3 linked regions of the Elephas maximus indicus genome follow. The protein of the gene in region 3 interacts with the protein of the main gene of each other region in a pairwise test. Links are inferred from orthologs where the notes say so. Each region holds a gene or a part of one and is shown on either strand. Other genes may lie near its edges.

Region 1 (3,751 bases), on a different chromosome or scaffold from region 3:
CAGTCTCTGGAGCCAGGCTGCCTAGGCTTGATTCCTGCTTTCTGGACCTTGGGAAAGATTTTTTTTTCTCTTTAGTTTAGATAATAATAGTACCTACCTCAACAGGTATTGTCTTGGTCATCTAGTGCTGCTGTAACAGAAATACTGCAAGTGGATGGCTTTAACAAAGAGAAATTTATTCTCTCATAGTCTAGTAGGCTACAAGTCCAAATTCAGGGAGTTAGCTCCAGGGGAAGGCCTTCTCTCTCCAACTCTGGAGGAAGGTCCCTGTCATCAATCTTGCCTTCGTCTAGGAGCTTCTCTGCACAGGAACCTTAGGTCCAAATGATGTGCTGTGCTCTGGGCGCTGCTTTCTTGGTGGTATTAGGTCCCCAGGTCTGTCTCTTCGCTACTCTCTTTTATATCTCAAAAGAGATTGGCTTAAGATACTATCTAATCTTGTAGTTCTCATTAATATGACTGCCACTAATTCATCTCATTGCATCACAGTGGTAGGATCTACAATCACTTCAATGACAAAATGGTAGACAATCGTACAATACTGGGAATGATGACCTAGCCAAGTTGACAGATATTTTTGGGGGACACAATTCAATCCATGGCAGGTATTCTGAGGAGTACATGAGCTATTCTTTGTAAAGCACTTAAAAATACAATAAATATGTTATATATTATATAAAATATAATAAATAAATATAAATAAAATAAACAGCCCAGAGGTATGAAAGTATGGACAGTAATATCGTAAGTGGAGATGTAGCTAGAAAGGTAGTTTGGAACAGTTCATAGATGTCTTTGAATGTCTTCTTAAAGAATTTCAAGCCCATGTGGAACACATAAAATCCATTCCCATATGGCTGAAGCACAATGGTGACTGCCTTTTTTAAAGAAGACCTGTACTCTTCAGGTTGTCACAATCCCCAACACTCCCTACTGCAGTGGTTTTGAGTCAGTTGGCCTAGGTTGAGACCAAAGGACCTGCATTTCTAACAAGTTTCCAGGTGATACTGATGTTGCTCGTCCAGGGACCACACTTTGAGAACCACTGATTTATTATATTTTGGACTCCAAGATGGGGAATCAGTTGCCATTTATCATCAAGCTTGTACTATGGCTTCTCTTATTCTTGGCCCATTTCAGGCATTTATTTATTTTATGAAAAATTATACTCATGCATTCTTGGCCCCTGTGGCACTTGAGCCACATTTCCTGGTATAATCAGTATGGGAGGGCTGGGTCTAGAGGCCTCAAGAAATAAATGCCCAGAAAGAGATTTGGGAGAGTCTGAGGCTCAGCTTGAAGAAGGGTTATGGGTAGCTGAAGCTGCAGCCATGTGTGAACTCATCCCCAGGAAGAGTGTGCAGGGAGAAATGGGTTGTGGGTGAACAGCAGAGTATCAAGGGGGCACTAGGAAGGATGGAAGAGGCTGGGAGGAGAATTCAAAGAGGTAGGAGGAAAGCAGAGAGAGAGTTGATGGAGAGTTCTCTGTGTTGTTATTAGAGAGAGGGCTGTTGGCAAACATCTGAAGCCAAAGCTTAAATAGTTAAACAAGTAGTTCTCGGGTGAGCTCACAGTCTGTGGGAGGTCAGGAAGCAGGTATCCTGTTACCCTTGCTCACAGCATGCCTGGTAACCTGCTGTTGCTCCGAGGCACGGCTTGTTGTGAGCAATTGTCTCTGAGGCTCAGGTAGCTTGGAGCTGAGCATGGTGAGTATTGTGTCGCCTACCCTTTTTTTTTTTTTTTTCGTAACCCTGCATGTTAAGTAGAAGTGTGCTTGTCTTTCTCTTGATGGTCATGGTAGGGGTACTTGCAGCTGGATAGTTTTGTTTCTGGAGCACTTATTGGGGAAGAGTGTCTGAGAAGGGAAAGATGGGAGCTAAAACTGAAAAGGCGAGTGGGCAGCATTCAGTGGGTGGTCTTGAAGACCAGGGTTTGGACTTGGTACTGTGGAAAACAAGCAGCTGTGAGGAGCTCTTGAGATGTGGTTAATACATGTTGGTAACCCAGCACCGGGCACTAGGGCTGACACACGTAGGCGTTCTGTAAATGAAGATAAAAAAAAAAAAGATATATATATATATTTTTTAAATTGGCAAATCAATGAATTGGAGTTTTGAGGGACGAGAAATTTTAGAACAAATAACCCCAAGAGTCAGTGTTGGGTGGTTCAACATCCACAAGTTTTGGAGCTAGAAACACCTGCAATTGTACTTCAGCTCTGGCCTCCCTACCTACAGTTTAACTTCTCTAAGACATCAGTTTCATTGTTTATAAACAATAATGATACTTGTTTGTGGGTTGGTAGGTGGTATTTGTATCTAGCACAGAGGCTGGTACTCCCTGCATAGGGGCCAGTATTATTATTCTTTTTTTAATTAATTTTTATTGTGCTTTAAGTGAAAGTTTACAAATCAAGTCAGTCTCTCATACAAAAATTTATATACACCTTGCTATACACTCCTAATTGCTCTCTCCCTAATGAGACAGCACACTTCTTCCCTCCACAGGGCCAGTATTATTACTGAGTGCTTTCCCCTCACATCTTCTCCGATCCTGTCCTGTGAGGTAGGCAGGACAGGCATTATTGCTACCTTTTACGGATGAAGCCAGTGAGGTCCCGTGAGGTGCCTTTCCTGGAGGGCCTTCCCTTGTTGCATACCCAGCCCTACCATTTCTTCAAGGCCTTTCTCTTTCACGAGGTCAATGACCCTGTAATTACAGGAGAAAGAGAGGACACAGTGTGGTGGTCATTTGGTGGCTCTGCACCCGTGTTAAGTTGCTGTACTTTATCCTGAGGTAAATGTAGGCTGCAGAAGGACCAATTCATACATTTGACAGCTCTTTCCCTGACCGAGACCTCTGACAGGCACTTAGGCAGTAGAGGTGAGTCTGGGGGAGGGGGATTCACTGGGGACCTACTATGTGCCAGGCTCTGGGCTGGGTACTTCAAATGCCTCGTTCCTAACCACAACCTTACAAAATGGGCCCTGTAGTCCCCAGTTTACACAGGAGGCTTTAAGATATGGAGGGACTTGCTGAAGGCTAAGGAATTGAATCCATATCTGTGTGACTGCAAAGACCACACCCTTTCTTTCCACAGCTCTGGCCACATTAGCTCATATCACACAAACCACAGTCGCTAGGTAGACACGTCACCTCACCCTGCTTAGGCTCTTACTAGCCAGGTGTGTGGTGCATGTAACCACATGCACCTTGACCAACTTGGACTCACTTCTAATTTTCTAGGCCCTCTCTCAGGTCATTGGCCTGCTGCCGTGGCCTTGGTGGCACCCTTCTTCGGTGGTCAGCCCCAGGCTTCTCCCTCCCATGCAGTCCTCTGCAGCCACTACTGAGGGCCTCAGCAGCCCGCTCTTTGGGGCCTACACATTCCCTGCCTTCAAGTTCCAGCTGCGCCATGACAGCGTGGACTGGAGGCGCATCAGCGCCCTGGATGTGGAACGAGTGGTGCGGGAGCTGGACGTGGCCACCCTGCAGGAGAACATCGCTGGCGTCACCTTTTGCAACTTGGACGGGGAGACGTGCAGCCGCTGCGGACAGCCTGTGGACCCAGTGCTGCTCAAGGTACTGCGCCTGGCGCAGCTCACCATTGAGTACCTGCTACACTGCCAGGATTGCTTGAGTGCCAGCGTTGCCCAGCTTGAGGCCCAGCTGCAGGCCAGCATGGGTCAGCAGGAGCGTGGTCAGCAGGAGCTGGGCCGCCAGGCTGATGAGCTCAAGAGCATGAGAGAGG
Region 2 (3,751 bases), on a different chromosome or scaffold from region 3:
ATTAGAATGGCAGTGATTTAAAAAAAAAAAGGAAAACAGCTGGTGTTGGTGAGGTGGTAGAGAAACTAGAGCCCTCATCCATTGCTGGTGGGAATGTAAAATGGTGCACCTGCTGTGGGAAATGGTTTGGCAGTTCCTCAAAAAACTGAACATAGAACTATCATACGACCCAGCAATCCCAAACCCAGGTATCTACCTAGAAGTGAAAGCAAGAACGCAAACAGAAACCTCTCCACCAACATTCACTGCAGCATTTTCACAACAGCCAAAAGGTGGAAACAACCAAAATGTGTCCACTGACAGATAAATGGATAAACACAATATGGTATATGCACACAATGGAATAGTCCTCAGCCATATAGAGAAACGAAATCCTGATGTGCGCTACAACATGGACAAACCTTGAAAACATCATGCTGAGTGAAATAAATCAGTCACAAAAGGAGGAATGCCGTATGATCTCACTTACGTGAAACAAGCAAATATATAGAAACCAAAGACTATCAGTGGTTGTCAGGGGGCGGGAGAGCAGGGAAAGGAGTGTTTCTGCTTAGGGGGCAGTGAGTTTATGTTAACGGTGGTGGAATAATTTGGAAAAGGATAGCAAGAATGGGTACACAATTTGAAGAATATAATTAATATCACTGACTTGCACATGTCGAAGTTGTTGAGATGGTATATGTTTTAGTGTAAATATTTTCACCACAATTAAAAAAGCGTGGGGGAGAATGAAGACGTATGTTCAAGGAAACTCATGGCAGCATTGTTTGTGTTCACCGAAAGCCTAAATCCATCCCTAGAGAACTGGTGAGGTCCAGGAGACCCATCCAGACAGTGGACGACTATACATCCATTAAAAAGGAACAAGGGAATCATCTATATTAGACTAAACAGTCAACATTTACCCTAAGGCAAAGATGAGAAGGTAAGGGTGGTGGTGGGAGGGGGCAGGGAACAGGGAAGCTAGATTAATGGCAACAGAACAACCAGAATGGAAATAATGAGAATGTTGACACATGGTGAAAAACGTAACCGTCACTTAACAGTGTGTATAGAAATTGTTAAACGGGGACCTAATTTGCTGTGTAAACTTTCACCAGAAACACAATAAAATATTTTTTAAAAAGGAACGAGGGAAAACCATCTGGCAGTTCTTCAAAAAGCTGAACACAGAACTACCATATGACCCAGCAATTCCAGTCCTAGGCATATACCCAAGAAAACTGAAAATATATCCACACAAAGACTCATATGCAAATATTCATGACAGCTATCATTTGTAATATACAAAAAGTGGAAATAACCCAAATGTTCACAAACTGACACATGGATAAACAAATTGTGGTCTAGCCATACAATGGAATACTATACAGCCATAAAGAAGAACAAATACAGATATAACAACATGGATAAATCTCAAACACATCATGGTACAGGGAATGAAACCAGATGCAAAATGCCACATAGGTTATGATTCCACTTGTTTGAAATGTCCACAACAGGCCAATTCATAGAGACAGAAAGTAAATTGGTAGTTGCCTGGGACTAGGGGTGGGAAGGATGTTCTTTGGGTGATGGAAATGTTCTAAAGCTGGAGAGGGGTGGTGGCTGCTAAACTTGGTAAATTTACTAAAAATAATGGAATTGTACATTTAAAAGGAGTCCCTGGGTGGTGCAAACAGTGAACACGCTCGCCCGCGAACTGAAAGGCTGGAGGTCCACTCAGAGGCACCTTGGAGGAAAGGTCTGGCGATCTACTTTTGAAACCTCAGCCACTTAAAACCCTATGGGGGGGGAACCCTATGGAGCACGGTTCAACACTGATACAGCATGGGGTCCACAGGAGTAGGAAGTGATTCTATGCAACTGATACAGGTACATTTAAAATGAGTAATTCTTATGTAAATGATACCTCAATCTGCGGCATCACTTGTGTTGGTATCGCCCAGTGTGGTACCTCACGGTGTCACACACCCCTACCCGACCCCCGGCCGGAGTGGGCGGGGCTGGCCGCGAAACCCCCCCTGGTTGGAGGAGCAGCCAGGCTCGGCCTGTCCCCACAGCTCCTCCCCTTTCCCGTGGGCCAAACTCTCCTTTTCGCCCTATGGCAGGTACCAAGACCCAGCTGCTGATACCTTAACTGGCGGGTGAAGGGGGGAGTGACGAGTTACCGCACTGGGTGACAGGTGAATCCAGCCCTAGTGACGCCACCGCGTTGACGGCCCCTGCCCCAGCTGCATCCGTGTGCCCACCGCCTCGGACCCTGGGGTCATTTTAAAGTCACCCTCTCTAACAGTGCCCTCCTAGTGACACCACTAACCTCAATGAAACCAAAAAACCAAACCCGTTGCCGTCGAGTCAATTCCAACTCATAGCAACCCTACAGGACAGAGTAGAATTGCCCCACAGAGTTTCCAAGGAGCGCCTGGTGGATTTGAACCGCCAACCTTTTGGTTTGTAGCGATAGCTCTTAACCACTACGCCACCAGAGTTGTCAAAATAAATAAACCAAACTTTGAAAACACTGCCGCTGCTCACACCATCCCGGCTCTTCCCCCAGACCCTGGGTGCCACCTGCACCGGACCACGCTCCTGAGTGGGGCCCAGGCAGAGAAACTGAGGTTCGCTCTCTCCGTCGCCCCCAATCCCAGCTTTGAAGAGTGCCCCCATTTCCTCCCAGTCATCTCCCGAGCTGGAGCGCCCCTCGCCCAGCTGCCGCCCACCGGCCCCTCCGACCTCCTCCCACGCTGTCCATCCGCGGTGGCCGCCGCCGCGCTCAGGCCTGGCACCCAGGCCGGAGGGGACCGTTGCCCGGGCAACAGCACTGGGGAGGAAGAGACTAGACTACAACTCTCGGCATGCACTGCGCTGCGGAGACTAATGGCATAGCCAGTCACAATCGCGGGGCGTCATGGGAGTAGTAGGTCTGGGGTAGGCCCGGCGTGCACCGCGCGCAGGGGACCAATAGGAGGCCGGGTCATAATCACGGGGCCTGCCGGGAGTTGTAGTTTTGGGACGGGCCGGCAAGCTGCGAGGAGGCTACTGGGAGCGAGGAGCAGTCGTAGAGGCGCCACCTGGCCTCCATGGCGGCGGCTGAGGTCCAGCTGTGGGTGGTTTGCTTGCTGCGGGTGGCGCTGGCCACCGTTTACTTCCAGGAGGAGTTTCTAGACGGAGGTGAAAGGGGCCACGTCCGCTGGCGAGGGCGTGAGGACCCCCCACTTCGCTGCCCAACGGACGGCCGTGTCGCCGTTGGCCCCAGGCCCCTTGTTGCGGGGTTGAGGGTGGCGGAGCCTCGATGTTTCGAGGCCTCGAGCGCCCCCTCACCCTCCCAATGACACAAACTAATAGTTTTCAGCCCTCACCGGTGTTGTTTCCCCCCACAGAGCGCTGGAGGAACCGATGGGTGCAGTCCACCAATGACTCACAATTCGGGCATTTTAGACTCTCGTCGGGGAAGTTTTATGGTCATAAGGAGAAAGATAAAGGTTAGTGTAGGGATCCTGGGAAAATGAAGCTAAATGCTTAACGCCCCTAGCAACTTTGCAAGGTAGGTGTGGTGACCCCTCCAACACCTGTTACATCTATTTTACAGGTGAGGAAAGGAAGACAAGGACTTTAGGGAGTTGTTTTATGAGCACTTGTTAGTTGCCTCCCAGTCAATTTCCACTCGTAGTGACTCTACAAAATGACAGAGAGAACTGTCTCCTAGGGTTTCCTAGATTGTAATCTTTACGGAGGAGCCTTGGTAGCA
Region 3 (3,751 bases):
TTTGTAAACGTTCACTTGAAGCTCAATAAAAGTTAATAAAAAAAAAAATATATCCAGAATGTTTTCTTGTCCTGTATTTTTCCCTCTTGCTGAACATATTGCCTAGATTGTAAAAATTACCTCCACCATGTACAAACAACAACAACTTATAAAGAATGGAGGTGGTCCCTGGGTGGTGCAAATCGTTTACACTCAACTACTAACCCAAAGGTTGGCAGTTTGAACCCACCCAGAGGCATCACAGAAGAAAGGCCTGGAGATCTACTTCCGTAAAGATAACAGCCAACAAAATCCTGTGGACCTCAGCTCTACGCTGTAATGTGATGGCAATGAGATTGGTTCTTTGGTTTATAGGAAGAATGGGAGTCCCAGAGTGCTCCAAACAAGTAATAAGCTCAACTACTCACCAAAACGTCGGCAGTTCAAGTCTACCCAGAGCCACCTTGGAAGAAAGACCTGGCAATCTAATTCCCAAAAATCAGCCACTGAAAACTTTATCGAGCACAGTTCTATTCTGACACACATAGGGTCACCATGAGTCAGAGTCGACCCCAAAGAATGCTAAAGGTTTTCTTTCTAATCATGTACTTCTCCTGAAAATTCTTAAGAAAAAACTTTAGGAAAATAAAAATAATATGGAATGCCCACTGGCAATCGAGCCTCCTCGTACACATCCCTGGACAGAGCTTTCAGATCGTTACCTCTGCATTTGACTCCTCCACCCTACATTTCAGCCCCTCTGGCTGCCCGTCCATAGTCTTCAAACAGGGCCTTAAGTGACTCTGGAGAAGTAAGTCTGACCCTTTGTGACATAGCAGCAGTAGGAATCCAATCAGGACCCCACCAAGGAAACAGCAGGAGGAAATCTGGGTATTCCAAGCCTGTCAGGACTTTACCAATTCATTGACCTCTGCCTGAATCCCTATCATAAAAGCATGCCAGTCTCCCCTAAGCCCTCTGTCTTTGGTACATAAAAACCAGTTGCCATTGAGTTGGTTCCAACTCATGCAGACCCTACGTGTGTCAGAGTAGAAACATGCTCCGTGGTGTTTCCAATGGCTGATTTTTTGGAAGTAGATTGCCAGACTTTTCTTCTAAGGTGCCTCTGTATGCATTAGAACGTTCAACTTTGCAGTTAACAGCCGAGCACTTAACCATTTTCACCACCCAGGGACTCCTCTTTGATACATTGGTGTTGCTATGTGCTGTCAAATCAACTGATTGATAGTGACCCTCTAGGACACGGTAGAACAGCCCCATCTGGTTCACTAGGCTGTAATCTTTACAGGAGCAGATACCAGATCTTTTCTTCTGTGGAACTGCTGGTGGGTTTAGACCACTGACCTTCCTGTTAGCAGCCGAGCACTTAACCATCGTACCACCAGAGCTCCTTCTTTGATACATAAAAAGAAGTAAAAATTTTTTATTATTTTTTTTACTTCTTTGGGCTTAATTCTCTTGACACCTCCAAATAGTCTTGTATCCCTTGGTCTGTATACTAGGCCTTCTAATGGATTTGCTTGCATACTTTTGATTGCAAGACCTAGTCCTATTTCTGCCCCCAGAAATCCAGACTGGTTGCACAACGGCTAGTGCCAAAAGATCTCATTTTGAGAAGGTCAGGTTTTTTCAGAGAATTGTAGAGACTTGATATGTTAGAACTGGAAAGTCTTAGGGAATGATCTAGCCCAACCCCTTCAAGTGAGGGAAGAGAAATCCAAGTCCCAGAGTAGCAAAGTTGCCTCTCCCAGACATATAGCTGGTCGGCAACCAACCCGGAACTGGAATCTGAGGCCCTGCCTCCTCTACTTGTTCCGAGACGTCATGCTAGAGTTTGGAAAGAGGAGGATTAGTCTGACTAATGTGGCGGTTACACCCTTCTGTCATAATCCCTACCTGAAGTAGAACCACACTGATTGGAATTTCTACGTTTTCAGATCTGGTATCTCTGTTCCTTGTAAAATTTGGCCAGGAATTCTGTGGAAAAGAGAAAATAAGATTTCTGCTTCCCAGCTCATTCTCTGGGCCTCAGTTGGGCACTGGAAAAACAACACTTCGTACTTCTTTATTCCCCTCTGGGCCATCATGGACATTATGAAAACCCAAGTCTAAAAGAATGTGTGGATGATATCTGGTAAGATGTTCATCAGTCTCTGAACAGAAATTAAGACAGATGTTTTAGCTGATGTGAAAGCCTTCTGGGTGTCTTTGAAGCAGAGACAGTCATACCTACATCCTTGTCTAAGATTATTATTTCTATCTCAAGTAAAAAAGGCATACCAGTGTGAGGTGCCAGGTATAGGTCTGCTGCAGAAGTTGGTCATCCAAACACTCAGAACATTCCAGAGGTGACATCACAAAACCATATGGTGTTCTTCAGGGCTCATGGTTTCTCTCTGAGCATTGCAGGAGGTAATAAGGCATCAGAAGGCCAGGAAGAGCTTGCCCCTGGCTGTGTCCACATACCTGGCCAGGTCAGTGTGACACACAATAGCCCAAACAGCAGCCCCTGTTTGGTCATCCCAGCTGCCATTCACATCCCCACTGCAAGGCTGGGCTGAGACTGCTTCCCTCTCTCTAGACATGGCATCTTCTGCTTGGAGTTGGACCACTGAAGAAGGAAGGAACCCAAACTGAACTCTGCCCAGGCCAAAGGAGGAAATGTAGAAACTGCATCAAGATCACAAGGCTGACATCTGAGCTTTGTGAGGGGAGCAGCCCAGCCCCTCTCGACAAAATTTTCCAATTCGCCTTCACCTTTTTGTGCCTCTGTGCCTAAGACATGTCTCTTGTAGACAGCATATGTTGTTCTTGTTGTTATTAGGTACTGCCGAGTCAGTTCTGACTCACAACAGCCCTATGTACAACAGAATGAAACACTGCCCCGTCCTGCGCCATCCTCACAATTCTTATGCTTGAGCCCATTTTTGCAGCCACTGTGTCTTCCTCTTTTTCGCTGACCCTCTACTTTACTACACATGATGTCCTTCTCCAGGGACTGGTCCCCTCCCAATAACATGTCTAAAGTATGTGAGGTGAAGTCTTGCTATTCTCGCTTCTAAGGAGCATTGTGGCTGTACTTCTTCCAAGACAGATTTGTTCATTCTTTTGGCAGTCCATGGTATATTCAATATTCTTTGCCAACACCGTATAGATGAGTCTTTTTTTTTTTAACCCAATCTGCCACTCTCAGCCTCTTGACTCACGTGTTTAATCCATTTACATTCACAGTAATTATAGATAAAGGAGGACTTAACTTCTGCCATTTTGTTACTAGTTTTCTGTGTGATTTAGCCCATTTTTGTTCCCCTTTCCCTCCAGTGCTGACTTATTTTGTATATAGATTTTTGGTGTGTATGTGCTGAGCCATTTATTGACTCAGAAGCAATGGGTTTGGGTTTGGTTTTATTCTGTATATAATTTTTTATTTACTTTCTCTGTGGTTACCATGAGAATTTGGTCTTAATTCTATCAGAGGCTGCTCATGGGGACATTCGTTCTGGTTATTGATGTAACTTAAGCCTCTGATTAACCAGAGAGCCCCAATTCCCTATTAGTATGCCATATGCAGGGAAGAAAATGGCGGGCCAGGGTCAGCAGGTCCAGGGACACCTTAGCTGCCATTCAGAGTCTCCCACGCCCAAGTTACAAGTTACACCCTGCTTTAAGAAACCCGATGTACAAAAATTGGAAAATATAGCTACTCAAAAATCAAGAAGGCCATTAATTGCATTTTCAAAGAATTCTTCAT

Evidence for each region.
Region 1: the proteins of CBY2 (region 3) and DZIP1L interact in binary tests that used the Homo sapiens proteins (3 or more experiments, as listed by UniProt). The two-hybrid records come from large-scale screens. The link is inferred for Elephas maximus indicus from reciprocal best matches to the Homo sapiens genes CBY2 and DZIP1L.
Region 2: the proteins of CBY2 (region 3) and C3H19orf44 interact in binary tests that used the Homo sapiens proteins (3 or more experiments, as listed by UniProt). The two-hybrid records come from large-scale screens. The link is inferred for Elephas maximus indicus from reciprocal best matches to the Homo sapiens genes CBY2 and C19orf44.

Annotation. Positions count from the first base shown.
Region 1 is NC_064844.1:39,517,317-39,521,067, forward strand, and holds the start of DZIP1L (cilium assembly protein DZIP1L), read left to right. Parts: upstream 1-1,016; 5' UTR 1,017-1,703; coding exon 1,704-1,706; intron 1,707-3,246; coding exon 3,247-3,751. UniProt on the Homo sapiens protein: Involved in primary cilium formation. Probably acts as a transition zone protein required for localization of PKD1/PC1 and PKD2/PC2 to the ciliary membrane.
Region 2 is NC_064821.1:36,721,299-36,725,049, reverse strand, and holds the start of C3H19orf44 (uncharacterized protein C19orf44 homolog), read right to left. Parts: upstream 2,840-3,751; 5' UTR 2,737-2,839; intron 1-2,736. Other genes in the region: CALR3 (calreticulin-3), read left to right, coding at 3,084-3,174, 3,384-3,485.
Region 3 is NC_064832.1:34,356,930-34,360,680, forward strand, and holds the start of CBY2 (protein chibby homolog 2), read right to left. Parts: upstream 2,356-3,751; coding exon 2,281-2,355; intron 1,978-2,280; coding exon 1,897-1,977; intron 1-1,896.